Linked DNA regions of Rhinolophus ferrumequinum. The protein of the gene in region 2 interacts with the protein of the main gene of each other region in a pairwise test. Links are inferred from orthologs where the notes say so. Each region holds a gene or a part of one and is shown on either strand. Other genes may lie near its edges.

Evidence for each region.
Region 1: the proteins of RAD23A (region 2) and NGLY1 interact in binary tests that used the Homo sapiens proteins (3 or more experiments, as listed by UniProt). The two-hybrid records come from large-scale screens. The link is inferred for Rhinolophus ferrumequinum from reciprocal best matches to the Homo sapiens genes RAD23A and NGLY1.
Region 3: the proteins of RAD23A (region 2) and MINDY3 interact in binary tests that used the Homo sapiens proteins (3 or more experiments, as listed by UniProt). The two-hybrid records come from large-scale screens. The link is inferred for Rhinolophus ferrumequinum from reciprocal best matches to the Homo sapiens genes RAD23A and MINDY3.
Region 4: the proteins of RAD23A (region 2) and USP25 interact in binary tests that used the Homo sapiens proteins (3 or more experiments, as listed by UniProt). The link is inferred for Rhinolophus ferrumequinum from reciprocal best matches to the Homo sapiens genes RAD23A and USP25.

Annotation. Positions count from the first base shown.
Region 1 is NC_046300.1:23,284,551-23,292,240, forward strand, and holds the start of NGLY1 (peptide-N(4)-(N-acetyl-beta-glucosaminyl)asparagine amidase), read left to right. Parts: upstream 1-4,630; 5' UTR 4,631-4,709; coding exon 4,710-4,840; exon of another isoform or gene 4,841-4,939; intron 4,940-7,690. UniProt on the Homo sapiens protein: Specifically deglycosylates the denatured form of N-linked glycoproteins in the cytoplasm and assists their proteasome-mediated degradation. Cleaves the beta-aspartyl-glucosamine (GlcNAc) of the glycan and the amide side chain of Asn, converting Asn to Asp.
Region 2 is NC_046301.1:48,674,732-48,682,400, forward strand, and holds the start of RAD23A (UV excision repair protein RAD23 homolog A), read right to left. Parts: upstream 3,075-7,669; 5' UTR 3,006-3,074; coding exon 2,889-3,005; intron 1,526-2,888; coding exon 1,364-1,525; intron 1,199-1,363; coding exon 1,017-1,198; intron 880-1,016; coding exon 824-879; intron 691-823; coding exon 563-690; intron 288-562; coding exon 209-287; intron 85-208; coding exon 1-84. Other genes in the region: CALR (calreticulin), read right to left, coding at 5,266-5,469, 5,554-5,646, 6,247-6,390, 6,477-6,590, 6,673-6,882, 6,971-7,065, 7,525-7,669. UniProt on the Homo sapiens protein: Multiubiquitin chain receptor involved in modulation of proteasomal degradation. Binds to 'Lys-48'-linked polyubiquitin chains in a length-dependent manner and with a lower affinity to 'Lys-63'-linked polyubiquitin chains.
Region 3 is NW_022680355.1:2,201,565-2,209,633, forward strand, and holds the start of MINDY3 (ubiquitin carboxyl-terminal hydrolase MINDY-3), read right to left. Parts: upstream 3,021-8,069; 5' UTR 2,791-3,020; coding exon 2,697-2,790; intron 1-2,696. UniProt on the Homo sapiens protein: Hydrolase that can remove 'Lys-48'-linked conjugated ubiquitin from proteins.
Region 4 is NC_046285.1:10,682,085-10,690,152, reverse strand, and holds the start of USP25 (ubiquitin carboxyl-terminal hydrolase 25), read left to right. Parts: upstream 1-5,006; 5' UTR 5,007-5,167; coding exon 5,168-5,212; intron 5,213-8,068. UniProt on the Homo sapiens protein: Deubiquitinating enzyme that hydrolyzes ubiquitin moieties conjugated to substrates and thus, functions in various biological processes including inflammation and immune response.

The DNA.
Region 1 (7,690 bases), on a different chromosome or scaffold from region 2:
TCAAAATCTTCAAAAGCAGTCCACTTATCATAGCTTTCTATTCAGATTTTGGAGGTTTTTAAATTTTTTGTATTCTGATTACAAATCATCTTTCCAGATAGAGCTCCCTTTCTTTATTAAATAGATTTTCACCCAGCAAAATTGATCTGCTCACTATCCCTAGTTTGACTTTAGCTTTTCTGTTTTCATCTCTGTATCTTTTGCTTGTGCTTTATTTTCTTCGACATTCATTTTCCTCCTATTTTGTGCTAAAAGCTGGCATACAAAAATGTATAGGACATGGTTCTTGCTTTCAAGAAGTTCATAGTCTAGTAGAGAGACACAGCCATGGAACCGTGCAAATACTCACAGGAACAGGTGGTATCAGAGAAGAATATAATTATTATCATACAAAGGAAACAAGTAGGTCATCGCTACCTTCCAAAGTCAGGAAAGTCTTCAAAAAAGTGATCCTTGAGCTGCATCTTGAAAATAAGTAAATGTTTATCTAGTAAATTGAGTGGGAGGGCATCCTGACAGGTGGAGTAGAACAAAGGCCTGGAGACATGGTATCTTCCACAAACTGCTAGTAGTTCAGTATGGCCAGTGTTAGATTTGAGGTGTGGTATGAAGCATGAGAGTAAACGGACCAATCCCAAAAAGTCTTAGGTGTCATGCCAAAGATTTTCGATTGGGTACTGCAGATCAGAGATGATAGCCTGGCAGTCCTGGTCTAATTTGGATGGCAACATTCTTATATTGAATTTAAATTCCTCTGGGAAAGATATGGTAAACTCATTCCCTTCACCAGAGTCTCTGCTATTCCTTTGGCAAGAAGAAAGCCACTTTATACATTGAAGTTACTTGCTTGGTTCCTGACACCATTTGACTTTCGAATGTGGGCGAGAGGTAGCCATAGGAAGCCGTATTCTTTTTTAACCAGAAGGATAACATGACCAGATGTGTGCTTTAAAAGGATCACTGTTACAGTAGTGTGCAAGGTGAATTCGAGGGATATGGAAATGGATATGGGAAGAGAGTTAAGGCTGAAGAAAAGATGATGAGGCCTCCAACTAAGGTAATGGCAAGGAAGAGAGAGCGATGTTGAGGCAACATTGCTAGGATGTTGTCCCTATTAAATGGGGGGAGGGGTTTCTCACTCTAGGAAGTCCTCACTTCCTTAATCTCCAAATGTAAGGGCTCTATTCAAATTCTTCCTCTTACACGAAATGGAAGCTCACAGTGAAATTTTCCTTCCTCTACACCAGTTCTGAAGCTTTACTGTGCATCAGAATTACCTGAAAGACTTGCTGCTACATAGATTACTGGGCCTCACCTTTAGCTGGGGCTTGAGAAGCTGTCTTCCTGACAAGTTCCCTGGTGGTGCTGCTGCTGCTGCTGCGGGTCTAAACACTGTGTAAACTCATGACTTCCATGAAGCAGGGCCTGTGCTCCACTCCTTCACTGCTTCGTAGTGTCTACCACAGTGCTTGGTATTTAGTAGTCACTTCATAAATACTGGTGAATGAATGAATGACGAAATGAATGAATAAATACATACCCTCACATTGGCTCCTAGACATGCATCACTTTGTGCACTTCTTACTAGGTAATTTTTACTTTTTTGTTTCATTAACTAAATAGCTCTCTGTATGTAAGATATTATCATTAGTTGTAGCTTTCCTACTAAATTAAAAGTCTCATGTCAATTATCTCTGTTTTGCACACATCAGGTGCTCAATAGTTGTCATTTGATTATGTAAGGCAATCACGGTATAACGAATCACTACACCGATCACTGAAAGGCTTCAACGTATCTGCTTGCTGATGGTCTTTATTGAGGTCAGCATTTTCTTTTTTGACAAAACATCCTGGGGAAATTGTAATGGTTTAATTCTTTTTTTCTGCTCTATTTAAGAATAGTGCCATCATGTGTCAATTCTAAAGATGACGTGATTAATAAAGCTTGAATCCTGGAAAAGAAAATCATTTTGGAGCAAAAAAATCAAGTAAAAGAATGGAAGTGCAAAGCTGATTTAATACGAGAACATTCTTTAGTTTAAAGCAATGGTGGGATAAAGAGATTAAGGGTAGCTTAATATTTTTAATTTTAGTTGTAAAGGAAACTGAAACATCAATATTTTCAACTTGACTTAAATGGAAGAAGCAGACGGGGAAAAGAGTAAGTCAAAGTCCCTTATTATAGTAATAAGTTCCCTTGCTAGCTTTACAAATGGTGGTATCCAAGAGAGATTGTTAAGTTACTCAAGAACTTTAATGGAAGTATTGGTAAACAGTAATTTGCAAGGATTTAAATTCCAGGTAATTTAAAATAACATACTGAATTACCCTTGAACTAATCATATCTATGATTTTATGGACTGCACATTATTATCACAGTATTAACTCTGGCATTGGTTTTCATACTGTTAACATGTTCACCACAAAGATACTGGAAGGCCATTATCTCTGTCAAGTGGAAGTCTCAGCTAAAGCATTCTGTTCCTCCTACACACACACACACACACACACACACACAGTCAACCTACTTCACTTCTAGAGCACCACCACTTCGGCGTTTTGCATATACTGGGTTTCCTCCTAAGATTTTATTTGCAAAAAAAAGTGTTCTGTTGCTTTTAAAAAGAAGTCATAAATACTATATAGTATATAACTTTATACAGTTATTATAAGGATAAATAAATGTGCTAATGGAAAAAAGAAACTCAAGGGGAATATAATTTGTGATAGAAACGGCTAGTTATAACCCCAGTCCTCCCACCTTCCATCATTTATAGAGGGTTGGGTGGTGCCTGTCCAGCCAGGGACTGACTACATTTCCCAGCCTCCCCTCCTTTTATCTAGATAGGGCTTCCTTTTTGCCAATGACATGGTAGAGAAAATGCTGTATGTCATTTCTGGGCCCATGCGGTTATGATGCAGGTATGCCTTTTTCCCAACCATTAACTAAATTCAGAAGTCTCTGAAGCTCAATTGCAGAAGTTAGGAAACTACAGGCCAAATCCAGCAGGCTACCTGTTGTTGTAAATAAAGTTTCATTGGAATATGGCCAAGCCCATTTTAAAATAGTGTCTATGGAACTATATAACTGCAGAAGCAGAATTATTAATAAATAGTTGAAACAGAGACCTTATGGCTTCAAAACCTTAAACATTTACTACCTGGTCCTTTAAAGAAAATGTTTGTTGACCTCTATTCTATAGGATGGAAAGTGCCTCGGTCCCTGGATCATTACATGGAGGAAAGCGTCCCAATGACTAATGACACCTACATTATTAAACTATTAAGTGAGCAAGAAAGACATTTCTCTTGTGTTAAGTCACTGAAAATTTTAGTTACAGCAGTTAACAGCATACTATGGGTTAAACACACTATTCTTGGAAGCTGTTCTAAAAACCTACATATTTATTAAAAACTTCCCAAATATCTGGCAGATGAATGGTAATTGAAGTAGATGGCATAGCTCTGGGTCTTGTTCATAGATACTGGAAGAAAATTGCAAATTTTAAAAGCAAACAAGATAAAGCATCAAGAACAGTTTAAAAAGTTAGGCAAATATCTTTTAAAGGTCAAGAAAAATATTTGTTGAGGTTTGGAAAGCAATTTCTGCAAAGAAGGAAGCTACTGGTACATTTTCAAGGGCATGGTAAGGACAGGATGGATTATAGAGGTTAGGATTCATCTTCTAAAAAGAATAAAGGTCACTGATTACATGATCTACCAGAAAAACAAAAAAATAATACTTATCCTTACTACTATATGGAATATTTTTATTGCCTTTCCTTCTCCCCACTCCCTATTCTATTCTGTCTACTGGGTATGTGTTTTATGCTGGTCACAAGGTAAACTGAGTCCATAAAACACTACATTGTAACCTGCGATTGAAAAACACTTCTTTACAGGGGCGTTATACTATTTAAGCTGGAACTTATGCAAGAGATTTTAAGGTGAAAGACATGATCTGAAGAGAAACCAGAGCATAAGAGATGTTAAATCATTCATCTAATTCTAAAAAGAATCCATATACCAGAAACCCAGCAGAGTTTACAGCCACGCGGTTTTTGCTTTTTTTGTTGTTTTTTAAACGTTTGTTGCTCCTTCCTTCTGGGGTCTCATCACATCTATGCAGGAAGGCCTGACAATCTTCGAGAAGGAAGCTCAAAGATTGTTTTATTTGGAGGAAAGCGTGTTTGAAGGTATAGGGGTTTTCCCCACCTCAGTGGCTGGATCAATCGGAGTAGGGAGGAACCAGGTTTCTGCGACCCACCGGCCCGCACAGGACCGCACCCGCTAGCCCCGCCCCTCCTAGACGAAGCCCCCCGCCCCTCTCGGCCAGCCCTCCCACCTACTGCCACGAACGCCCCACCCCAGCCCTGACTACGAGGTACCCCGCCAGACCTCCAAGGCTTCCCAGCCCTGATGAGCAAGCACCCCGCCCCTTATGGTGGAAGCCCGCGGGGCCCTGACAACCTGGTTCCTGTCGCACCCAGTCAAAACCCCTGAGCCTCCGAACAGCCCCCAACCGGCCCAGCCAAGGCCCCTGCATTCCCATCGCCCTCCCGACCAAGATCCGCACCCCCAGCCGTGCCCCAGGCCCCGCCGAGCCGCGGGCCCCTGCGGACCCGCTGCCGTGGCCGCCGCGCGCTGAGGCGCCTGCTCAGTGCGGGACGCGGCGCGCGAGGGGCGGCGACGGGCGCGGGCGCTCAAGCATGGCGGCAGCGGCGCTGGGCGGCTCTGCGGACTCCACGTCCCCTGCTGTGGCCGAGCTCTGCCAGAACACCCTAGAGACCTTTCTGGAAGCCTCCAAGCTGTTGCTCACCTACGCGGACAACATCCTCAGGTGCGGGGCTGCGCAGTCGGTGGGGGGACGGGCAGGGCGCGGCGCCTGTTCGGCCGGGTTTGGGGGTGCCCGGTAGGGCACCGGAGGGTGGCGAGGTCAAGAGGTCTAGGGGCCTGGGCCTGGCTCTCGCTCTCTGTCGGGGCCCAACGGCCGAGGCCCTCGAGACCCAGTCAGGCCCCACCCTCGCCCGAGAAGAGGAAGTTTGTACTTGTGACTTGGCACCTGAAATCGGGGAGCTCCGGGATGAAGCGGAGGTCCCGGGGATAGGGTAAGGCGAGGCAGGTAGGAAGGCGTGTCCCCAAACACTTGCCGCTGATCTGGTTAACTGTCTTACATGACAGGACATAAACTGTAACTACCTTTCGTTATCACTGCGTGGATTTTACGAAACAGGGTGCCTTAAGTTTCCATATGCTTATCAGGAGTGAGTCACTGACAAAATTCCCAACATTTTGTGAATATCCTAATACCTACTGAAGTGGTGGGCTTTTTACCTTTTTTTATGGTCTTTTTCTTCCCATTTTGTTGATTGAAACATTATCAACTATTACTTTAAAAGTTAAAATGTTCAGATTAATATCTGGATTCTACTTTCAAAATGATCATATAAGTAGGAATCAGTGATGATAATTACCTTGGCTAAGAGGAATTTATTCATTTCTTTCCAGCATAAGCACATTTCTAAATCTCTGAGGGACCTTGCAGATTTGGGGAATTGGGAGTCAAGTGTGATTATTCCTTTTGAATCATTACCACTTCAATTCTTAGATGGGAACGATGTGGCGGGGAGAGAAACGGAACTGAGGTTAAAGGAGCTGCAGGTGCCAGGTGCTTTAGTGTGTTTCTTAATTTATCAACTTGCCAGGATTGTCTAGGTTCTCTGTGCCCCCTCAGGCCCTGGCATTTGCTCTTCTAAGTGGTGAGTATACGTATGAAGTCTAAAAGGAAATTTCTCTCACTTTCAGGTTATAGATTTCATATGACCCTGTTTTCAAGACATTAGTTACAAGTGCAGTGTTTTAACTCATGGCAGTTATAATAGTATTCAGATAGATAACATTAGTGATTTAAAAGTAAATTGAAGGAAAAGCATAGTGAGCCCTTATTATGTCCCAGATGTTACAAGAGATGCAGCATGTGCACTGTACACAGCTACACAATTGTGACTTATGTGGGGACTGCCTTCCTCCTCTGTGACACCTTCTCTGCTTCACCCTAATCGGTCTCACAGCTCTTCAGAGCCCAAGGATACCAGTGGACTCTGCATGAATAAATTCATAGGCTGAGTGCTCAAGAGCCCATCGGCTGGGACCTTTCACCTGGAAAGCCACCAAACTATTGAAACCCCACTATTCAAAAAGGGAGGTGGCTTTGTAATAAGTATTCACTTCTACTTTCAATCCAATGAAACCAAAAATGCTACTAAGATAAAGGTGCTTTGAGGAAGGAAATCCTTTGCATGCAAATAATGGCTTGACATCATAATCATTATGAATGTTTACCACACTCATAGAAGAAACTTGTCATGCTGTCAGTTCATGTTAGTCTTTACCATGGCTTGTGTTTCAGACCTTTAAAAAGTGTTTATCTATGAGGGTATTTAGGAGTTTGGAACTCATATAATTGGAGATGGTATGAAAAACTACGCTTTTTAGTCTATCTTAAATAATAGTAGTAGTCCATGCCCTCATGTTGTTAGAATTTAAACACCTTCAGGAGTCGAGGGAGAGGTGGGGGGTGGTACCACCTCTCCATCCCCTTCTAAATCCAGACTTGCTAACCTCTTAACAGAAAAGCTCCATATCTCTGTATTTCTAGCCACACTGCATTACAGATCTGCTAATCTAACTTATTTGAGAGTAGTGAACACCGAGGTTTTCTATTCCTTTTGCTGTTTTGGGAAATCTACTAGCATTAGAGATAGGGACTGTGTAAGGGATGTCTTGATATCCCTTGCTCCTACCTCAGGGTCTGATACAGTATTTTATAGAATGAGAGCTAAAATGAGAATTTCATTAGCAGTTTTTAAAAGATTTTTATTAAAATATAGCTAACATACACTATTAAAGTCATTTCAGGTGTATACCATAGTTATTCAACATTTATATACCTAAAGAAGTGATCGCCATGATAAGTCCCGCAACCACTGACACTCTATCACAATATTGTTGACTCTACAGAGAACATTTTGATCATTCCCAGATTGGAGGGGGGTTGGGGAAGGATGGATGAAAACAGGAAAGGGATTAAGAAGTTCAAATTGGTTGTTCCAAAGTAGTCTTAGGGATGTAGGGCATAGCATAAGGAATATAGTCAATAATATTGTAATAACTATGTGTGGTGTTAGATGTGTACTAGATTTATTGGGGTGATAAATGGGAGGGGGTTGGGGTACAGGGTGAAAAAGGTGAAAGGATTAATTAAGAAGTACAAATTGCTTTGTTTGTGTTTAGCAGTGATACTTGTCACTCACTACACACAAAGGAAAATAATACTTTTGGTTTTGTTTTAAATTTCTGCTTTGGATGATGTTTATCCTATTCCCCAACTAAGAGTTATAAAGCTAACAAAATTACAGAATAAAATATATGCTAATTTGCATGTATAATATGCCATGGTGTTGAACCTTTTAACTTTTTTCAGTTCACGGACTTCTAGATAAAGATGAACTGTCTTCAGTAATATCTACTTTCTCAAAAATCTGTAATAGTTTCACTGGCATTCTACGTGGGTTCCTTTAATAATTTGTTCTACTCATTCTTTCTTTAAAAAATTGATTTTCTACTAACATGCTTTGCAAACTGTGTACAGTTATTGGTTACAAATGGCACTGGATATGATTGGGAAGGG
Region 2 (7,669 bases):
GCAGTGCCGGGTTCTGCTGAATCACCTGTCGCATGTTCTGGAACTGGGGCTGGTCCCGCAGGAATTCCAGGGGGTTCTCTCCCACTGGCAGGAGGAAGGCATATGGTTAGACCCCAGGCTGGGCTCCCAGAAGCATAGGGTTTGGGGGGAGAGAAGTCAGATGCCTTGACAGCAGACACCCCACATGCACACATCCCAACTCACTCACCTGCTTCTGTAGCTGGCTGCTCGGACACCTGGCTCTCCTGGACAGAGCCGTGTTCTGGCTCGGGGCTCCCAGGAATTCCCTGTCAGGGCTCCTATTTAGTTCTAATGCACAGACCACCTGCTGCCTCCCTCCTGCACATTCAGCCCTGGCAGGAGACAGGTGAGGCCTGGGCCCCGCCCTCCACAGGCCCAACCCTCTGCTCACGTCCAGCCTCCTGAGCAGGGAGGTTTTCCTGGCTCGAACCATGACCCAAAGGCTTTTGGGGGCAGGTTTTACCTCCCTGACCACCTATCAGAGTGCTGAAGCCCACGTATTCCCTGGAAGCCTCCCTAGGGGGCAGCAGCCCCACCTCACCGTGAGTAGATACTCCACGGCTCGGTGGGGGTTGTTGTAGCTGGCTCTCAGGGCGGCCACGACCCGTTCCCGCTCATAGCCCATGGACATGATCTCTGTCAGCATCGTCTCATACTCGGAGCCCGTCACTGTGGAGGGAGCAGCAAGGTCTGGGTCACCCACAAGAGGGAAGGGCAGCTCCCAGGCCCTCCCAAACCCACACAAGGCCCAGCTGATGGCTGGGGCACCCAGTCACTTCTGCCATGGGGACCACCCACCCACCTAACGTGGAGGCCGCGTCTTCCTCTCGCCCGCTGCTACCTGAAGAAGGAACAGAGCTGCAAATTCAAGAGAGAGAAATCGGACCCTGACTTCTGGCGGCTTGCCCTCCCCCCGGGTGTGTGGGACCGTATATGTGGGCACTGCAATGTGCTGGAATAGGGCCCCACAACGAGGTTGCTGCTCCTTGCCTTACCCCGACACAGACTCTGGGGACGTCGTGGGGACTGATTCCTCCGATGGACTCTTGTCCTCTCTGGTGGTAGGTGAGGGATGGGACATGCCTGAGGCAGGGGCTGGCGGGAAGGATGTGGAGGACTCTGGGGCAGCAGTGGGTGATGCCTCTGGGGGTACTGAGGTGCCTGGGCTGGTTTTGGCCTGTGACACCCAGAAAAAGGGAACAGGCATCAGTATCCCTATCACGCCCCAACATCCCGCCACTTCCTAGCCCCGCCCTGTTCACGACTAATCTCTCCAGGGCACACAAGCTCCTCAACTTCCAAGCTAATCAACATGCCCTCCCAACCAGCACACTTCACCCACCTTCGTCACCATGACAACCACAAAGTTCTTCTCATCTATGCGATAGTCCCTGATGGGGACGTCATCGCTCAGGATCTTGCCAGCATAGATGAGTTTCTGTCCAGCCACCGGGAAGGCATCACGTCCCTTCTCAGCTTCTATCTTCTCCTTTAGCACCTTCACCTGGAGGGAGGGGTACAGTCATTGCAAACCCCAAGATTCTCTCTTCCCTTCTAGTTTGGTGATTGAGGGGAGAGGCTGGCAAGCCCTGATGATGGAGAGGCGAAGCTTCAGTCAAGCATGCTAGATACGAGTTCATTTGATCATCCCAACATTCAACTGAGTATTTACTGAACACTTAATGTGCCAGACGCTGTTTCAAGCACTAAAGACACCGGAGGGGACAAAATCAAGACTCTGCTCTCATGGAGATGATGCTCAAGTGGGGAGACAAAAAAACAAGTATATATTTCAGGTAGTGTAAAGTATAATGAAAAGTGAAAAATAAAAGGGAGACAGGCGAGTTCCTCATTTAACACTGCAGACAGTGGTCAGTTTTTACTGAAAGCATCTAATTTGACAGAGATGTCATAAATGTATATGCATCACACTTTTAAAGCCTCATAATTCTATGAGATAGATACCATTAGCCTCATTTCATATTTAAGAAAACGGAGGCACAAAAAGGTTCAGTAACTTCCCCAAACTCAAATAGTTGAGCAGGTCAAAAAACCCGAGTGTTTCCTTTTCTACAAAAAGTGGATGTCAATGTCTCCCTCATGGAGTATTGTGCAAAAAGTATCAAATACATAGTTAAGTCACTCACTAAGGCTGGTTAGGTCCTAAGTTTCTTTTCAGCTAAAAAGGCAGAATGTCTGGGCTCTAACATGAGGAAGAACCGAATTTGAGTCCTAACTCTGCGAATACTCACTGTGTTTGTGGCAAAGTTCCTTAATCCTAGGTTTCTACATCTGTAAAGTGGGGAGTCAGAGTCCCCAAATGAAAAGCCTGTTTTGCAGATTTAGTAACATAACAACAGTAAAATGCCCAACGACTAGCAAAGAACAAACGGCCAACAAACACGGACCACTGAAACTCAGACCATTTATTATCAGTATCATCGTGTTGCAGTCATCAGTCGGCATCTCTAGGCCATTACTCCCAGATTCGGCCACCAACGTCCCGAGGAGACAGACGTCTGCAAAGCTGGGAACTCAGAGATCCCCGTCGGGGAGAGCGCAACCCAACCGAGAATCTGAACCTGTGGCTCCTGCGCCCCGCAAAGGCGCTGACATTGGAGCCGGGGCCTGGCAGGCGTCCCGGGATGGGGCCTCGTCCGAAGACCGCTCATGAGCACCACCAGAGCCGCCAGGGGCTAGGCCGGAGACCATCGTGGCGGGGATGGGAGGCGGTGGTTCCGGAATGTCAGGCAGGTTGGGAGAGCGCAATTCCCCCTGCACCTCCCACCGGGATCTCGGGCCCCCCCGCCCCCATCCCACCCCGCGGCACCAGTCACTCCGCCCCCGGGCTCCAGCCTGGCTCGCACCGTCTCGTCAGGCTCCATGCGGATCTTAAAGGTCTGCTGCTGCAGCGTTTTGAGCGTGATGGTGACGGCCATGGCGGGGCCGAGCGATGGGGCAACCCCAGGATCTTCACACAACATGCAACTCACGCCGCCGCCATCTTAGCGCCCAGCCGCGCCGCGCGCCGACAGCTTCCGGGGCAGGCGCTGCGCGCGCCGACTATTAGAATGCGTGACCTACGCACCTCCCTCCCACCCACAACCCGGCTTTCGCGAGCATGCGCACAAGAACGCCCTCGGACCAGGCGCAGAGTAAGGTCGGCTCCCGGGAAGGGGAGGGTGTATATCTCTGTGCGCGCACACTCGTCACGTGATTTCCTGTCAGTGACGCCATACCCGTTTGCGGTGACGTCATACGGCCATAAAATGGCTCCAAAGTCCCCTTTCAGGCCCTCCTGCGTTTAATTTCATGACGTAGAACAAAAATTTTCGTGTACTTGTTATAGCTATTTGTGTTTCTCTATAAAGTCTTTGTTCACGTTCCAAATGAGTTTTATTCTGGTCCACCACCCTGACAGGAACCTGATCAAGGCCCTGAGAGTGAAAATTACTCAGGACTGGAAAAGATACTCGGAAGGTCACGAAAAATAAAGAAATTAAAACTCTAAAAAAAAAAGAAAAAGCATTTGGCTGTGGAAGCTGGAACACGGGCCATTTTGTGGACTCATTCGTTCATTCCTGAACTGGATTTTTTGGAATGATCCCTACCGTTCAAGTTCTTGGGTCTCCCACCTCTGCGCTACTCCCTCCCCAACTACTTTGCTCACTCCACTATACCCAGTGCGACCCCAAAAGTATTTAAGATGTTAACTTTCAAGGCCTCCTTACGCTAAATACATAATTCTCTCCATAAGCTTGCCCTGGATACACCAATCCTGGAGGCTTCCCAGAGGGGTGGAGCTGGGCCACAGGACCCAGGATGAAGCTTGAAGGGAGCCCATCCAAAGAACAGACTTCCCAAGCCTGGCACCAAGCAGGCAGTCACATCTCAGGCACACCCAACTATAACCAGGTCCTGCTGCTGCTTTCTTTACTGTGTGCCAAGCCTAGAAGCTTCCACCAGGGTAGGCCATGCCCAACTGAACTTACCTCTCCCACAAGGTCATCAGCTGCAGACCACCTACTAGACTTCAGTGGCAGCTTTATGGACCCTAAGAGTGGGCCTAGGCCAGCCTCAGGAGCCCAGACCTTCCTCTGCCACTATCTCAGCCTCTGCACCCTCCCTGGAGTCACCTCTCTTGAAGAGGTTCAAATCCCAACTTGGCCACTGAAGTCCATGGGTAAGCTATATACACCTCTGAGCCTATTTCCTTGATTGTAAGTACACAAGGAATAGCTTTTACCACTGGCTGGCATTAAGGTTTAAAAATTATCCAATTGTTCTACGTAGTCTTGCTCCCTAATAGGTGTAGAAGTACATACGATTCAGTATAAAATAGTATGAGATGGTGTCTAAGATGTAGGTTTAAATCCCTGCTCCACCTCTGACTAAATTCTGGACCTGTCTTCTCATACTGAACTTGTGTTAGAACCAAAACTCACCAGTTTGGTGCAAGGACTCAATGAGTTGATACATAGAGTATTTGTAATGGTACTTAGTTCATCTCCCACTGCTTTGTGGGGGTAACTGTAACCTTATGGGACACTCAGCCAACACTTCAGTGGCTGAAAAATAAGCCTTACTCAAATGTCAACCCCTAAAAAAAGGGCCACTTTTGGTTCCCTAATGTCCATCCTCCCCCAGAAGGAGACACAGGAAGAAGACACAAAACTTAATTTAATAGAAATTTTGTTTGTAGTTCTTACATTCTGTATGAGCTGAGTTGGAACCCACTGCCCCACCCAGAAGTGGCCCAGTTCTGGAGGCAGGGAGAAAGGGAGGAAGTGGGGGTGAGGGGTCGGAGCTCGGGCCCTAGGAGCCCCATTCTTCCTCAGTGCTGGGGGTCTGGGACACCACGCCCTTTTCCTGTCCCACTCTGGGATTCAGGAAGGTGAATAGTCGGAATCTTGGGCCTGGAGCTTCTCCTCCCCACCTCCTCATGCCCCCAGGTTGGAGGGGAACTAAGGGACATGGGGAGAGAAGAGACAGAGGACGGCGAAGGGTCAAGAAAGATGAGGGCCAGAGGTGAGGGCTGAGGGAGAATCATAGACAAAAACACCAGTTCAAAAAACAAATAACAAAAAAAAAAGGGAGAACAAAACCAAAATCCACCCCAAATCCGAACCCGCCTGGAAAAAAAAGGAAAGTTCTCCAGTCTCATAGAGACATTATTTGGCGCGGCCGGCTGTGCGGCAGGAGCGCTCAGGCCTCAGTTCAGCCCCGGAAATGGCGGTGCGGCCCCTACAGCTCATCCTTGGATGGGCCGGCGGCGGCCTCGTCCTCCTCCTCGTCTTCCTCCTTATCATCCTCGTCCTCGTCCTCGTCTTCCTTGTCATCCTCGTCGTCCTTGTCCGCCTCCTCCTCCTCCTTGCGCTTCCTGTCCTCCTCCTCCTCCTTCAGCCTCTGCTCCTCGTCCTGCTTGTCTTTCATTTGCTTTTCTGCCGCCTGCACAGACCATACACTCAGAACCTGGCCCCCACCTGCCAGCCCTGCCTGCCCCCCCAGCCAAGAACTGGACCCAGGCCCCACCTTTGTGACACCCCACGTCTCATTGCCGAACTCTTCCGCATACGCCTCGTCGTTGGTGATGAGGAAGTTGTCAAAGATGGTGCCAGACTTCACCTGGGAAGGGGAGGATGGATAAAGGGGTGGCCAGAGGGAACACACCACGCTCCTGCCCTTCAGTTCCATAACCACTCCACAATGCCGCAGCCTAACTTCACACTTAAAATACAGGCTGACTGAGTGCAAACCCCAGCTCTGCTATTTCCCACCTACGTGACGTTGGGCTGGTGACTTTTCTATACCTCAGTTTCTTTATCTGTATAATGGGATCTCTTCCTCTTGTTCAAGTATTTTTCTAGCACCTACTATTGGCAGGTACTGTTCTTAGCACAGAAGGTATATTAGTGAATGAAACAAACAAAAATTTGGTCCCCGTACAGCTCATTTTATAAGGGACTATCTACCTTCTAGGTTGTTGGGGGCAGTTAATGAGTTGGTTCACATAAAGGTTCTTGGGGGAGTGCCTAGCATAGCATGTAGAACCTCAAACGAGGTGCTGTGAGAACGCCATAGAAACAGACCAAGAAATTCTTCAAAACAGGACAATTTTGGGGTCAGACCTACCTAGGGTTGGATCCTATCCCTGTCCCTTTCCTTCTGGGTGACCTTGAGCACTTGAGGTCCCCTAGGGATCCTCCTGTTCCCTCCATGTCTCACCTGCCAGAGGTCTAGGCCCAGCACAGCAAAGTTTTCATAGGCATAGATATTGCTATCCGGAGAATACTCAGGGTTGTCGATCTCTGGGTGGATCCAAGTGCCCTTGTAATCTGGGTTGTCAATCTGTCGGGGCTTCCACTCACCCTGCAGAAGAAGGGAACTGGAGGTGAGAAGAGGTCAGCATGCTCCCCACTGTGTACCCCCATCCTGCTCGGGAGCCCCAGGCCCACCTTGTATTCTGGGTTCTGAATCACTGGTGGTTCCCACTCTCCATCCATCTCTTCATCCCAGTCCTCAGGCTTCTTAGCATCAGGGTCAGGGATGTGCTCAGGCTTGTCCCAATCCTGAGGGCACACGAGGAGATCAGAGTCAGCCCAGCTCTCCGCCACCTCCTCCATGGTGGGGACTCCCTGCCCAAGCACCAACCTCAGGTTTGGAGTCTGTGGGGTCATCAATCTTGGCCCGCTCATCCCAGTCTTCAGGCTTGGAAGCATCAGGATCCTTTATCTTCTTAGGTGGCAAGAAGTCCCAATCGTCTTCCAGGGAGCCCGACTCCACCTGGCTGTTGTCAATCTTCACCTCATAGGTATTATCCGGCCGAACGATCAGTGTGTACAGGTGTGTGAATTCATCATCCTGAAGAGGGCGGGAAGTAAGTGGCCCCACCCACCAGGCTGGCCTCTGAGCCTCCCCAGGCAGCCATTTGTCACCACCCCAGGCACACCTTGCAACGGATATCCTTATTGATTAGCACATTCTTGCCCTTGTAGTTGAAGATGACATGAACCTTCTTGGTGCCCGGGCCACAGATGTCAGGGCCTAGGTGAGAAGCAGGTCCAGTTAAGGGCCAAACCCTGCCCACCATAGCCAGCCCCCGCCCCCTACCCCGCCATTCTTCACAAAAGGAAAACCTCTTAAACTTAGGTCTGTAAAGACTCAAGAGACAGGACTCAGACACTGACTGTCTCTAAGGGACAGTCTCTAAGGTGTCTCTAAGGTGGAGCCTTGGAAAAAAAAAAAATTCATGCTCTAGAATACAGTACCCTCACTTGTAAAATTGGAAAATGCCTATGTAAGATCACACATATTAACAGACTTAGACCAATAATAACAATGCAATAAATTGCTGCTGTGATTATCCCCTCACCTTACCCTTCAAAGAAAAGCCTATGTGTTTCCTGTGCTTTCAAGACCACCTGTCATGGGATACAAGGAACCTATGGGATCTCAGTCTCCCTCTAACTAATCAGAGGTCAGCACCAGGGTGGGGCCCCTCACCAAACATAATGTTGTATTCAGAGTCTCCGTGCATGTCTGTCTGTTCCAAACTATCTGGAAATAGCTTCACATAGCCGCCCCCACAGTCGATGTTCTGCTCGTGTTTCACGGTGAACTGCACCACCAATGTCTGGTCCTTGTTGCT
Region 3 (8,069 bases), on a different chromosome or scaffold from region 2:
GCAACTTAGCAAGAGGAAAGCAAACAAGAGTATAAATTTCCGTTTAAAACAACAACTTTAAATTGTGATTTATCGCCTTTAAAATAAAAACTGGCAAAACACACACACACACAAAAAAAAAAAAAAACAAAAAAAACCCTACTTTTGTTTTTAAAGAAAAAGGATTTGCAGAAGAGAATTATCTAAAACAGCCTAATGAATTAAAAGAATAACTCTGTGCTACTCCTGAGGCTCATTGCTTAACATAGTGTCTAAAACTGCCAAACAAATCAAAAGAGAAAAAAAAAAAAAAACAAGTATGTGCTGTGGCAGCTTATTATTTTAACATATCAAAAGAATTTAACATGACCAATCAATATAGTTTTATAAATGGAATATCCCTAGACATAATTCTATAAATATTTACCCCCAAACATTTTATATCTGTAACTTGCTTCCAAAAGACTAATGAGATTAGCTTCCAATTCATTGCAGTTATAGACTATGAAATAAAGCCAAAGTTAATGTCACAATATGAATGCAGTGAGGCAAATGCAGCAAAGCAGTGTCTTGTATCTAGTCCCATAATCCCAAATTATTGCCACAGTAATCTTTAGCAATTGTTTCTGCCTCTAAGAATGAATAAATGAATACAATGGTTAACATAGCAAAACCAGGAACAACAGCCTTCTGATTCAGAGGTTATAACTTAAAAATACATATCTGGTCGCCTTAAAATCTTGATCAATTTAAGACCCTGAAGAATTACATATCCACAATATAACTGCATTCTCTGAAAAGCAAAAAAAGTTCAATACCATTTATTTTGAAATGGTATTGATTGAGTGAATCTTATTGAGGAACTTCTGCATCACTAAACTGTGGCACAGTATCCTAATGTCATTACAAAGTTCTATTTTTAAATAATGATTATCAAATAAACAATAACAGCTTCTTATAATTGCCAGGGAACTGCCAGAGAGGGATCTTTGGCTTGGGTTACAATGAAACAGTTTTGAAATCAAGCTACCATTTTCTGAGTGTTTACTATGTGTCAGATATTGTGCTAAGTGCTAAGTGTATTTACCCGTCTTTAATCCTCACAACAACCCTATAAGGTTGACACTACTATTATCTGCATTTTACAGAGAAGGAAACTGAGGCTTAAATAAGTTAAATAACTTAAACCTAGAACCTAAGTATGCTTATTCCAAAGCCTGCTCTTAACCATGACGAGAACTCCCTCTCTGAATTCTCCTTGAATCTGCATCACATATTAACAGAAATGAGGCTGAATATTACCTGTATTCTATATTGTAAATGCTTAATTAATGTTGACCAATCACACTAAATTTAAATTTTTCTTAATCCTTCACAGTCTTGTGTACTTTACAGCTGTTTACTATTACAGTAAGTAAGTTGAAAGTAAGCTTAAAAATAAAATCTGCAAACGTGGGTGTCCAAGATTTCAGAAAATATTAGTTAAGTGATATAATAAAATGCATAAAAAGAGCCAACCTAATTACACATAACTTTTCCCCAGTTTTATCAATTTGTACAACTTTGGCCTAGTCATTTAGTCTTCCTTCAGGACTCATTTTTCTCACCTCTGAAAACGAGCGATGGACTAAATAACCTAATTGAGTATAATACATTATGATTCTAAAGTTATCAGTTCTTAAAGGAAACATATCTGGGAGGGAGGAAGGGCTTACTTATACCCTGAATTTCTGTTAGAAAACACACATTTGAAGTGGGGACTTAGATTTACTATGCTAAAATTCCCCCAAATCCTTTGAGAACAGGATATGGTTTAATAATAATAGTAATAAACAGCTGTTATTTATTAGCCTGTTTTACATACATACATACATACATTACCGACTCCAGAGACGACACTCTTATCCCCACTTAACTTCACCAATCTTTCCTAAGTCACCTTAAGTAATGTGTCTGTGGTGTTTTAATATTAAAACTTAAGAATTAGGGATAATTACTAGTATAAAGTGTCCAGCACAGAGCCTGGCACAAATTCAATAAATAGTCATTTTTGTTTCATTATTATTCATATTATCAATAAAACTCTTTAAATAACTCAAAATCCTGTCTGGCTAATTAGACCCGCACGGGAAGTCCCACCATCCATAAACCATCTCAAGACGGGGGGATGCTTTGGGTTAAGAGAACATTTATAGCAAGCAACAGTGAATTTATGCACGGAGTACCATGGCTAACCACATACTTAAAACACAGACAACAAAACTGCTTTCTGGAATTAGCCACTTTGACTTCCCCGTGGACCTCCCTCTCTCCAAAATTAGACCAAACACCAATAACAGAAAGCCTTGTCAGGGAATAAAGATTCGGGCGGCCACGGCACTTCTTGAGAAACTGACACCGGGACACAGGACACACCTTCAGTGTCACACAACGCAGCCACCCCTTCTCCCCTCCAGCCCAAGGGCAGCCCAGGGAGTGGCAAACGAGCTTCAGGTTTTAGTGGACAGCTGAAACCATTCTCCCGGTCAACCTCTCCCCCGGCCCCCAAACCCCCAAGACGGCAGCGAGCTGCTCGAGCGCCCGGTTTCTGAGCTGAGCATGGGGACTGGGACAGAGTGCGGGGCACGCGACGGGGCTGGCTGGCGCGAGAAGCGTCACCGCCAGGCTTTCCCAGGGCAAAGGAAGCGGCGCTGGAAGTGAGAGCCCGGCCGGGGTACCTTGCGTCCAGCGGCAGAAGATGGTGTCGGAGAGACCGGGACTGCTCTTGGTGCCCCATACCAGCTCCACCAGCTCTTTGGTCAGTTCGGACATGATGGGCTACCGGCGAGCGGGTTGTTGCTTCCAGGACTCCTGCCCCGGAACATGGGGAAGGGGCGGCTCCGGAGACAGGAGTTGCGGACGGCAGCAGCAGAAGAGTTGGAAGGTTAGACGCAAGGAAGACGAATGGAGAGATCTACAAGCAGGGACCGAGCCTGTCAAGCCCAGTCGGACCGGCAGCTAAGAGTTTCCCGTACCGGAAGTGTCCGGGCCACTTCCGGCTCCTCTCTTGCTACCGCCCCACACCCGGAGGGCCCGGGAGTTACCTCCCCGGAAGTGGAAATGGGGAGCGGGAAGAGCGACGGACCGCGGTGGAGGCCACTGGTGTTACTGAGCTGGGGGCCAGGCTTTTAAGTGCAAGTGGTGGCTTTTGTGTAGTAAGCACACCCCATCCCATGGGCGTCGGCATGTTTCTGACATCCTGAACCACTTCCTCCGTCTGCGCACTGCTCTGGTTTTAGCTGGAGGCTCTGAGACCCAAGCCCTACAGCCTAAAGCATAGTCTATTCCTTAAAATGTGTAATATTCACTACTCTAAATTACAACTGCAAGATCATGGTTAAGTTTCAATGAGAAAACATGCACGTCTGTGTCGAGAGCCCTCACTAAAGTGAAGGCTGTCAGCATCTGTGCCTCAATGTAACTCATACAAAGTTGAAGCAGCTATTAAAATCATAAGTGAAGAGGGAGGTGTGATGCGCATTGGAAATATTTCTACCAGGTGTAATGCAGATTTACGAAGCTATTTATAGGAAAACAGATTCAAAGCAGCCTGTTTGTAAATGGTAGAGCATTTCATCTCCACTTTTTGAGACTTACATGGGCAACACCTGAACTGAAGTCCAGGTTTTAATCATTGACGAGCATTCAGTTAAATGTAATATGTGTGAAAACTTCTATTTGTCCTGCTTACAAATGAAGAGATCTTTACATTCACTGACCTTTGAATTTAAAACAAAAGGGTAAAATTTGTTGGGTTCTTTCCTAGTTACGAGTAAGAGGGTTTTGCTGACTTATACTTTATTTCTGACTTCAGCAACCTTTGCTGTAGTGAAAAGGAATTGTTCAAAGTGCCTGATCATATCCATAGCCTTTCTCCTCATTTTTATTCGCTTTGGAATACACTTTACCCTAATTTTGCAAACCAATCTTACTCGTTTTTCAAGACAGTATAAATGCCACTTTGTAATAAGCTTCCTGCAGTCATTATAATCTAAAGTAAAAATGATAGTTTCTAAAATTCCATAGTACCTACCTTGCTTGTAACTTGCTTATGACAATTATTGTCATCCTTGTATTGGTGTCATGAGGGGTCTCTGGTCCTGCTTCCCGCACAAGAATGCAGGATATGGTGAGGCCAAAAAGGAACACCAACGGAGCCAAAGATAGGGGAGTCATATCACTATAGTGTCACTGGCCACTGGGTTGGAGACACAGGAAACAGTAGCCACTCGATCCCCAATCCACTGTCCACTTCTCTGCCAACCGACCAAACCAACCAACCAGTGCAGCCACGGCAGTTATATCAGTGGCTAATGGCTAACTGGTAACAGCTGATGGCCAACCAGCCACAGCTGATGGCCATTTACTACCCGAGCCAGCACCTTTCCACGTGAGGCCAAGTGCTTGGAAACTACTCTCTTAAACTCTGTCCTCACAATTTGCAAACAAGTACACGTATTTACTCTTCTCCTGGGATATAAATTTATGGAAGCCAAGGACATATCTTATTCTTAGTTCCTAATATGGAGTCTTGAACATAGTTTCTAGTATGGAGTCTTGAACATAGTTCCTAGTATGGAGTCTGGATCTCTGTAAGTATTAGTTGAATGAATGAAACTTGCCTTTACTAGAACTTAGGAATTCACTATCTTCCAGCAAGCGAAGGATCAGGGGATATACCATGTTTCCCCAAAAATAAGACCTAACCAGAAAATAAGCCCTAGCATGATTTTTCAGGATGACATCCCCTGAACATAAGCCCTAATGCATCTTTTGGAGCAAAAACTGGTATAAGACCCGGTCTTATTTTCAGGGAAACATGGTAGTATTGACTAGTCCAGTTAAATATCTTAATATTTGCATGGTGCTTGACAATTTACAAAATTATTTCCCTTCTTGAAAGACATAGAAAGGCCTTTATTCATGGAGCCTATGAGTGGCAAACCTCTAAATTTAAAAGCTTGCCACATTTTTCTTTCCATTAATATAGGAAATTATTAATAGTATAGTATATACTGGGGGTGCTAAAAATGTGTATATACATTTTAAGCGATGTTATTACCACTTTGATCAACCTTGCTCAAGCAATAGTTCGCCATAATCAGAAGTGTCTGGACACTGATGGGAACCACTTTGAGCACCTCTTGTAAAGGTCGAACATGACTTGTATTTATTTTTTGAGTATTACAATTTTAATACAGTTTTTTCCTTTCTTAAAAAGTGTATACATTTTTGGAGCACCCTCTGTATAATACTACATCACATTTGTTTTCTTTCCATTAATATACAGATGGTTGTTATAGGTTTAATTATCTATAGATATGAAGTAAAAGCTTCCCTTTCAAAATGCTTTTGTTTTTTAGTAGAATATTTCTTGATCTGTGATTTTTCTTAGTGTCCAGCTTTGGTGAAGTTGGCAAAAATCTTGGGTGGATATTGATAGGTATGTCCTTTTCACCTTTAGGCTATAGTCTTTATTTACAATGTTTAAAATTTTTTAATTAGCATGACATTTTTAACAAGGAATATTTGATTAATGTTAAATTACGTTGCTTAATTATTCACTAGTTATACATTTAAATTTAAATTGTAAACTTGCTTAAACTACAATAGAAATGCAAATTAATATTTATTTAAAATTTTCTTATATCTGGTCTATATCTGGTATAGGACAATAATGGCCTTCTCTTTTATTATAATGACTTAAAATTATGTAGATTTTCTTTGAAGTATTTATAGTGCTTCATATTTTAGCATTTTTTCCTTAGGACCATCTGTAGTTTTGATTAAACTGATGTGTAGCATTAAGATGTACATAAGTCGCATGAGTGATCTTTAGTCCTAAAAGAGAGTCCTATAAAATCATAAACTTCCTGTTCATATGTAAGTTTTATTAGTAATGCCTCTCTTTCTATCTAATTCAAGTTCAGGCACTTCCATAAAACTGGGCCGAGATTTCCATCATGATTAATTCTCTGTAGCCATCTTTACTACTTCACAGCAACAGAATTAATTCCTCGTCATCAAACTCTAACTCTGTGTTTAATTATTTTCCTGTTTTCCCCCAAATTTCCCTGACAAAGCACATTAGCTTCATTACCTGGGTGCTATTAACTACCATGAAAAGAACAATTCTCTAGTGGAAGTATGCAAATCCTACTTTTGTGTATTTGCACCACCACCTATCAAGGAGAAATCAAATCTTTGAAAAATCCACTCTCCAATAAAATTAATAAGCTCTAGGCAGGTAATAAAAACAATCCCATACTCATTTATTAATAAAAACGATCTCATTTATATGCCCTATCTCTTCCAATAACAGCATAAATCTAGCACAAAAACAAAACTGTTTCCTTTGCCTCACCTAACCTCAGGATAATTTTCTTACTAAGCACACCAAGTTCCTTTTAAACTCACCACTGTCATACTCAAGTTTGGTACAGTGCCTCATTTCCCAAAGCATTTTTGATAGCATTATGCTTTATTTTGGACTTCAGCAACCTTTGTGGTAGTTACAAGGAACTTTTCAATGTGCCTGAACCATATCCATATGGTGTAAAGGGGGTTCTATTATTAAAGGCTGGGTTAAGTAAAGTTGAACAAGTTGTTCACTGCAACTCTCCAAGAGAAAGGATTGTATTCAGGGTTAAATGACACATTTGAGTCATTTTATTCACTGAGCTTCTCACATAGTTGATGTTCTACAGAATAATATTTGGGAATCACTGGTATAATACAATAGAGTTTTGACTGGAATTAGAACATACAGATGTTAGTTCTTATTTGGGTACTAACTGTGACCTTGGATGAGTCACTTAACTGGCTATACTGTGTTTTCTTCATCTATAAATGAATTTTAGATAATCTCTTAGGATCTCATTCATTTCAGATCTTGTCCACTTCTATGATATTAAAAATTGGCTGTTTAGAAGTTAAAATATATGGACAGAGTAGGAAGAAGAAGAATCTTGAACAAGTATATAAACAAGTAATTTAGCATTATTCTTCATTAACACATAGAATAAGAGAGCTTATTTGCCGCTTATGACTTACTTGTACTAATGTTATGAAATGAGAATACCAAAGCCCAACTTGTATATTAACCCCAAACTGACTATATTAAACAGGTATTTAATATTAGCACATTTGGATGTGTCATAGGCACCTGAAACCTAACATGTTTCAAATCAACATCTTTTTTCTATAAAACCTGCTCCTCTTTCAATGTTTCATAATCAGTGAATAATACCATCACTTACCAAAAAACACATTCTTAATGTTCTCAATTTCAATAGAAAGAATAAACAACTTCTTTGAGGCTCAGTTGTCACATTCATAAAACATGCTTATTAATAATAATTACATCGTCCAATGATTATGGGACTTAACAGAGAAAACTGTATGTTGAAAAAGAAATAGGCATGTTAAAAAATACTGTTCTTACATTAGCTGTATTAATGGTTTGACCAAAGTACCAAAGTACCAAAGATAGGAGCAAAGATGGATGAGTTACTTCTGAATTTGAAATGGAGAAAACCTCAGAGAAGTTTGAACTAGATAGGATTGGGACTAGAGAAGAAAGGGAGGATGTGCATTTTAGACATGAAATAGTGTGGTAGGAGCTTGGCATTTGCGTCGCTAGAGAGAAATGAGTCAGGAATATCAGGTTGAGGAGGGTTCTGTAGACCGAACTGTGTCCCCTTTGAATCTATATGTTGAATCCCTAACCCCCAATGTGACTGTATTTGGAAATGGGCCTTTAGAGAATTAACTAAGGTTAAATGGGCCGTAAATATGGGGTCCTAATTCAATAGAACTCGTGTCTTATTAAGAAGAAGAAGAGACACCAGATCTCTCTCTCTCTCTCTCTCTCTCTCTCTCTCTCTCTCTCTCTCTCTCTCTCTCTCCATGTGCAAACAACCAAAGGCCACTTGAGGACACAATGAGAAGGTGGCTGTCTTTAAGGCAGGAAGAGAGGCTTCACCATTAACCAACCCTGAGGGCACATTGACCTTGTACGGGCAGCCTCCAGAGATGCTAGAAAATTAATT
Region 4 (8,068 bases), on a different chromosome or scaffold from region 2:
AATTAAAGACATTTACATCTGACCTTTGTGTCTTTTCTACCATCCAAGAGAGAACACAAATAATCACCAAGGGTTTGAAGCTAGCAATAAATAGCTGCTTAGGAATAACAAAGTAAGTTCTTTTGTACATAATTTGATATATGAAACTATTACAGAAATGTCAGTGGAACAGTCCCTTCTTAGCCTGTCAGATTTTGTAAACTGACCTACTTAACTCTGCTTCTTGTCCTAGACTCAGAATATTCAATCCCAGCTGACTAATTCTTCTTGGTGCTCATCTACTGGTTTTAACTTCTCAATTTATAGGTCTCAGTGAAGCCCTAATAATAATAATAGCAAGAACTTGCTCACATTTATTATGTACTTACTTTTTGCCTTATAGTGGTCTAAGTAGTTTACATTTACTTAATCATTTAATCATCAGAATAACCCTATATTATTATTCTCATTTTATAGATGGCAGAACTGACCCAGAGAACATGTATAACTTAAATTCATGTCAGAACAACAAAATACTCTCTAAATATTTAAATCAAGGCCTACTTAATTCGAAGAATGGGTTATACAGGTAACGGAAGACCTGAGAAGACAAACAAGGACAGTGAGTTAAACCAAGTTTAGCAACAGCAAGAACTCATTTTGACTCTTAAATTGGAGGGATGATGGAAGCAAGCAAAATTTCCACCAGGACCTTGAACCAGGGTAGGCCAGTCTGGTGAGAGCTAGAACCCCCAAAGACATATGGCCCAAGGAGATGCCACCCAAACGGAGAAGAAGGAGAAAGAGAAATAGCCTGGCTTTTTTTTTTCTCTCACGCCCTCTCCCTCCTTCCCCCAATACAATATCTACGTCTCTCATTGGCCAAATCCATTCTCAAACCAGCTGACCTGAGAGCATGGACTATGCAGGGATAGTTTTTTCTGTGATTCAGAGAAAAACAATAGAAATGCATGGAATTTACCTGATAGCAAACAGGCAAGGATTATCCAAAAGGCTTAAGTTGCTTAAGATCATAGAGCGAGCAGTCCCTGGGTTGTTCTTTGGGATTTGTATATGTGTAGCCATCATGGGCCCTGAATATGGAAGACAGAGGTCTTGGGAAGTGACATTAACTTATATAATTTTCTCTGTCCATATATGTCATAGGATAATTTCAGGGAAGTGTATGCCTACTACTGTAGAAGAGGAAGAAAGGTAAGAATGAGAAAGGGCCTGGGGACTAACCATTTTCATTGCCCGAGAATGCCTTTGGGCACGTTCAAGGTAAGGGAGCAAGTGATTCACACAAGAAATCACCACTTTTGTGCTGGCTCTCAGTTGATAAAGCGTAGCTGTTATCCAAGTAGGACCTTGCTTTTAAAGCAGAACTTGCAAATCAAAAAAAAATAGTTCACATTAAACTAGATTTCTATTTCAGAACTCTTTCCCCCAAAATTATTCTAATTGGAAATGTCAGTATTGGCAGAAAATGAAGAGGTCTATCTATCCTTTAAAGTGTTAATACAGCTCGTAGCAATATATGAGGTGATAGGATGGAGCAGGAAAAAGGATATTTAGTGGCACATAGGCATGAAGTGTAGGATTAAGTAAAGTAGATTAAATATGACTGTTTCGAGCTGAATTGTGCTCCCCCAAAATTCATGTTTTGAAGTCCCAACCCCTAGTACCTCAGTATATAACTGTATTTGGAGGTAAGGTCTTTAATAAGTTGGCTGAGTTAACATGAGGCTGTTAGAGTGGGGCCGTAAGCCAATATGACTGGTGTCCTTACAAAAACAGGAAGAGACACCAGGGGAGTATGCGCACAGAGGGTCAACCATGTATGAAGAGGCAGCCAGAGACTGTCATCTGCAAGCTGAGGAGAGAGGCTGCCAGAGGAACCAATCATGCTGGCACGTTTATCTTTGACTTCTAGCTCCAGAACTATGAGAAAATAAATTTCTGTTGTGTAAGCCATCCAGTCTGTGATATTTTGTGATGACTTCCCTAGCAAATTAAAAGGTAATATTTAAAGATTCTCAATGGGTAAGGCACCATTGGCTGCTGGAGATACTAAAATGATATGCTTTGTAATGTAAAACAACATGGCTTCCAGAACCACAAAGCTGTGCAATTGGAATGAGAAGTTCAAATTAGACATGCACTGCAAAAGCATCAATAAACTTGGTTTCTCTCCTTCATGGCTGCCCACTTCATTCAATAAGCATTTTATTGTGACTGTATCAGGCAGATAGCACTTTTACAGTTTTGAATCTATGAATGCCCTATCACTGAATGGTACCATTGTGACATCATAGAAAGCTCCTCTTTGAATAACGAGGTTTAATAATAATAATGCTTATGGTTTCCTAATTGGTGGTGGTGGGGGGGAGTTATCCCAGGATGTCAACATACTTACTTAAAGAAGGAAAATAATTCTTAACCTCCTTGAAATAGATTTAAGAACCACTCTTTTATCATGGAAATTGTTCAAATCTACACTACTAATTAAATGATTCTCTCTTATTCTTGTCTTACAAATGTGTTTTAGTAACATATGAAATTTTTGGTGTCCAGAAATGGATTTTCAAACCCTTTCTAAATAAAGAGAAATGAATAATCAAGATAGAAGAAAACCAATTTCCTTGGTTCACATACAAGTCACAATAGTGAATATTGTTGGAAACATCATTTTGATCCAAAATAGAAAAATAGACTTGTTAAAAACTAAATTTCACATTTTATAAGAACTCTATCACTTTATGTGTTTACCTGAATGTCAAATATCAGAGTAATGGAACAATTTAGGAATGATTAAATAGTATCCTGAGGCTATCTTACTCTAACAACTATATATACTAAGGCTGACTTCTGAACAGCACAACTGACACTGAGCAAATTTTGTAAATAAATTGGGATATCTGGCAAAGGGTCTTATGTGAGAATTTATCTCAAATTCTCAAATTTCCATCTTTTACTCATTCCAATTGTACTCTTTTTTAAAAAAGAACGCATATAAGGAAACTTGAAAATTTCTTATTAAAGTTCTACAAAATAACAATTAAGTTTAAAAAATATTAAATAGGAAACCATCAGAAGCAAGCTGGGAATCAATGCTCAAAGTTCGCAAGTATGACTACCCTCTAAAGAGCTTTTATTTGGGTATAAAAATGGGTATGATAATTTTTTGTGTGTGGAATTAAAACATTTAATTCAAAGAAAGATTTATTGCCAAATTCTTGAGACTAATCTTTAGTATCGGGCAATATCTTTTTAAACCACAGTACTAGATTTTATGTTAAATTTAACTTTCTTAAATTCAAATGTCATGAACCAGATAGATTTAAAACAAAATCTATAATACAGAGAAACATGAAGATATGTCGGAAAGAACTTTGGTCTATAAATGAGGAAAATGGGTTCTAGTATGCCTTCTTTGACAAGTCACCTCTTAGGGTCTCAGTGTTCTGATAAAAAATTTCTGCATTCTATCAGGACTGTTGCATTATTCCTAAAATCCTGGGTTTCCAACCATCTCACTACTTTTCAAATTCTTCTGGCAAACACACAGGATATCAATAAAATAAAGTTTGTAATTTGTCAAAATCAAATGAGCAAAATATGTGAAGACTCGAGGGAAAGATCTCAAAAGGTGGTTAAAGACATCTAAGGTACAAAGTCAGTTGTAAAGTGAACAGATTTGTTACAAAGACTTAAGAAGTACTTGATTCAGGATTATTAAATAAAACTAGATAATATTTCAATGATCATTTACCAAGTTTGTTTTTCTTGTCAACAGATTAAAAACCGGATTTGCATGTGTGTATTGTGTTTGGGACAATATGCACTGATCATTCCGCCCCTCCTACCGCAGCACCCTCACCTCCAATCCCCAGGTTAACTCCTGAACGTCAAGATATTTTTGAGGGTAGAGATTGCTGTCTCAATGTTCGGTTTCCCTTATAATTCCATATATAGTCAAGTATTCCATGCTGGGTGGTTAATTGATAGTTTGGCAACTGGAATACTAAAATTATGCACCATGTAGGCAGTGATACTTCTGTAATGTCTGTTGTATAGACCGTAATTCATTTACATCAAATCTTGGAGAAGTAAACCTTATTTCTCCAGATCCTGGCAGTGACTGGCACATGTACGAATGAATGAAGTAGACCGAGAATGCCAATAATCATTTATGTACTGATTACTTAAGGAGAAAAGTGCATTCCAGCCTAAGGACTTCTGACAGCCCTACGCTTAAATCACTCTTTTCCCTTAGGGCAAGTTTATTGCTTGTGAAATTCCTAGAAATGAGAGGGCAGAGGACCGCAGACGTAGAAAGGAGCCGGGGTTCGGGACCCAAGCGGTTTGGGGACGTTACGGGGCCTAGACAGAAATGTTTTGTCTTGGCGGAGTTGGGAAAGCCGGCGACCGGACAAGTCCAGGGCGCAAGCAGGAACGCAGCCCTCCGCTCTCGGCGTGGAGTTTAGCGGAGCCAAGTTCTGACGTCGCGTAACCTGCCGCAGGGGCGGCTCCAAGGCCCAGCTCGCCAGGCGCGCCCTCGCCCCACCCGGGGGCGCCGGGCCCGCGCCAGGCGGGGCGGGGCCGGGACTGGGGGGCGGGACCCCGGGGCGCTCCGCCCCGCCCCGCCGCCCCGCGGGTCACAATGTAGGGTTAGGGCGGCCGGCGGGCGGGGCTCGGCGGGGGAGGAGCCGCCGGGCGGGGGCGGTGACGGCGGCTGGGGGAGGGGAGGGAGGAGGATAGCGCCATTCTGGCCGGCCGCTCCCTCCGTTCCCTGTGCCTTCCCCGCAGTGGCCCGTGAGCGCCCGCGAAGGAACGCGCGCGCGCGTGACGCGGCCCGCCTCGCTCGCGCCCTCCCGCGCCCCAGCGTCCGCCGACCGCCCATGGCCGGGGCCGCGGCGGAGCAGCCGCGCTGAGGCGGCCGCACGGAGCTGTGGGCTCGCCGCCGTGGCCCTCGCCGTCCGCGCCGCGCCGCCAGCCCGCGGTCCCCGCGCACGCCTGCCGCCATCGCCTTCGCGCCTGCCTGGCCGGGGCGCTGTCCTCCCCGGCCGTCCGCGCCGCTGCCTGGAGCTCGGCGCAGCGTGGCAGCCAGGGCCGGCGGAGGCGCGAGGAGCCGGACGCCGCCGCCTGTGTCGCCGCCTGTGTCGCCGCCGGTGCCGCGGGGGCCATGACCGTGGAGCAGAATGTGCTGCAGCAGAGCGCGGCGCAGAAGGTGAGGCGAGCCCGCGAGCCGGCGTAGCCCGGCCGCTCTCCTCATTCCGACGTGCTGTCCGCACCCGCCGGGACCCCGAGCTCCCCGGCCTCCCCGCCCGCGCTCGGGCCTCCGCGGCCCGGGCTGCCTCCCCCGCCACCCGCCGCCTCTGCCGGTGGTCTTCGGGGGTGTCGCGCCCAGTGCCGGGCTGCGTGTGGGAAGCGGGAAGTAGTTAGCGGGTTTCAATCCACTTCCTTTTGCTGATTGTTTTCCTGCAACCAACGGAGCCTGGTATTTATTGGGAGCGACTCTCACATTCCTACACTGCTTTATATGGCTTCTTAATTAAACTTTATTAAAACAAGAAGAGGAATAGCCAGTTGTCATCCGTTCTGAACACAGTTTGTATTTCGAAGGCAGGGACATTCCAGGCCTGCTAGTTTGCAAAAGGGTCTCCTCCAGAATTGAATTGCTTGCCTGGCAGGGCAGGTACGTTTACCAGGTGGACTCTATGTACAAGTAGAGGATTTGGTTGGTTCCTTTTCCTCTTTCGGTTTCTTTTTCTTTTTTTTCTGAAACTGCCCCTTAAGAAAGGAAACCTTCCTGGCCATGTTTGTTCCAGGAATCTTTTGTCCCCTAAGTTTGACCTTGTTCCATCGTTCACCCTTGATTCTTGCCTCAGTCACACATTCAAATGGTCACTCAAGTTTCAAAAAAAAAAAATCTGTTTGTGAAGCTTGAGATCGTTCGTTGTGAGTAGTGAGAGGTGCTCCTTTTATTCTAGATTTTGCTTTCAGAATCTCCAGTGCACTATCATGGCTTGAACTATGTTCTGAAGAGTAGTTGTTGGCTATGACTTATTGTGTGTGTGTGTGTGTGTGTGTGTGTGTGTGTATGTGAGAGAGAGAGAGAGAGAGAGAGAGAGAGAGAGAGAGAGAGAGAGAGAGAGAGAGAGAGAGAGAGAGAGAGAGAAGCATTTGGACAAAAAGAAAACAGTGCTTTAATCGTGTTAGAATTATGGAGATAACTGGTTTACTGTCAACGGCTGCCAAAGACGTGTTTGGCTTATCTGAGCGAGGGATAGTGCCCCGCCCTGTTACAGGTTTGACGTGGTTATATCCTACCTGTGCTTGGTTATAGAATAGGGCCTCCTGCCCTAAAATGGGCTATGCATTTATTTACAGCCTGCTAAGTTTTTGCTTTGAAATTATTTTTAGAATTTTATGATGGTACACGAGGTAATTGAAGATGCTCAAGAATTTTGGAAAGCAAGGATAGTGCATTGTTATTTTAGGCACTTTGAGAAAGTTGTCTTGGAACTTGTGTATTGGTTAACTGTTACTGGTAAATTTAGAAGATTATTGCACACTGCAAATTATTTGCAGAGTGAAATAATTTCTAGATTTAATAATAGGACAACAGTTCATCTCCTAAATCCCCTCTATTCTATTCTGAATATCTAAAACTTTAGTTTTTGATGTTTGAGTATATAATAAAGTGTTAATACTTAGAACAGGATCTTGGGATCATATGTATACTAAGTAATGTTTAATAGGTTTGTTATTTTTATTTATAGTTCTTTTCAGTGTCAAATATTAAAGTCTATTTCAAAGTGGAAAATGTAGCTAATTCTCACGTCTCTTAAATTTGAACAATGGCAAGAAATTTGTGAGTTTTTTATTAATAAAATTGATTTTGACTTAAAGTATTTCTTTAGTATAGAACCAAATACAGATCTGCATGCTTCAGAGTTTTGTGCATAAAATTGTAAGATCAGGAATCAAATTACTGAAATTACTTGATCTTGGTCATCAAGTCCAATTTCATAGTTTAATGGACCCTCTCCTTACATAAAGACAATAGTTGTTAAATTTAAAGTATTATCATTATGATGCTATTTTTAGAGTGTGTATGTCAGATCATTTCATTGATATTGGGGAATTGTTTTAGAGCATTATAATTTATTATACTTCTGTCATGGTATTTATGTGTTTTTTAAAAGAAACAATGTGTTTGTTTGCTTCCTGTATTTATGTACTATTACTTTGTTACTCAGATTAGAACTATTTTAAAAATATTTATATGGGTATAAATACTTTATACTGTCTACTTCAAATAAATTGATAGATTTAAATCCACCAAGCTAGTAACTAGGAAGTGGACTTCAAGCTAGTAACTAGGAAGTAAACTTCATACTTTACAAGAAACAAAAGTGAAACTCTTTGTTTTTATTTCTAAACTTGATGAATTACCAGTAAAGTGAGAGTTGTCTAGTGCGTATTGCACAACCAAAATTTTAGTCTATTTTCTGCTCTCCTTAAAAAAATGGTGTGTGTGTGTGTGTGTGTGTGCGCGCGCGCGTGCACATGTATAACATTAGTTTTATGTAAATAGCTGTATCTGGTGGTTGGAACAGTTTCCTGTACTTTCAATATTCTTTTTTTGTTTTCTTCCAGAAAGATGTGTGATTAGTGATAATTTTTTTTAAAGCAGCACAACACAAGACTTTCATGGGTCTTTTGTTTACCTACAAAGTAGCTTGTTACAGTATAAGTCAAAGGGCTTCCTTTTTCTCTGATGTGTTCTTTGCTTGATTGCTGAAGTTTGGCCATGCCAGTTAAGAAATGTAGGAAAACTGCAGAGCTGCTTTTCTGAGGTTTGGATAATGCAAATGAGGGGAGTTGGAGGCAGATTATGTACAGTTAAAGCTTGTCATAGTTTGATCTTGAATATGTATCTTCAGCTTTTGTGCTTTATAGTTTTCCTAAGTGTAGGATCCTTGGATCTTAGAAATTTGATACATAGACTCCGATCCCAAGTGAGGATTCTTTAGGACAGCAATGGAAGGCTTCTACCTAGGGACCTAGACACTGTTTT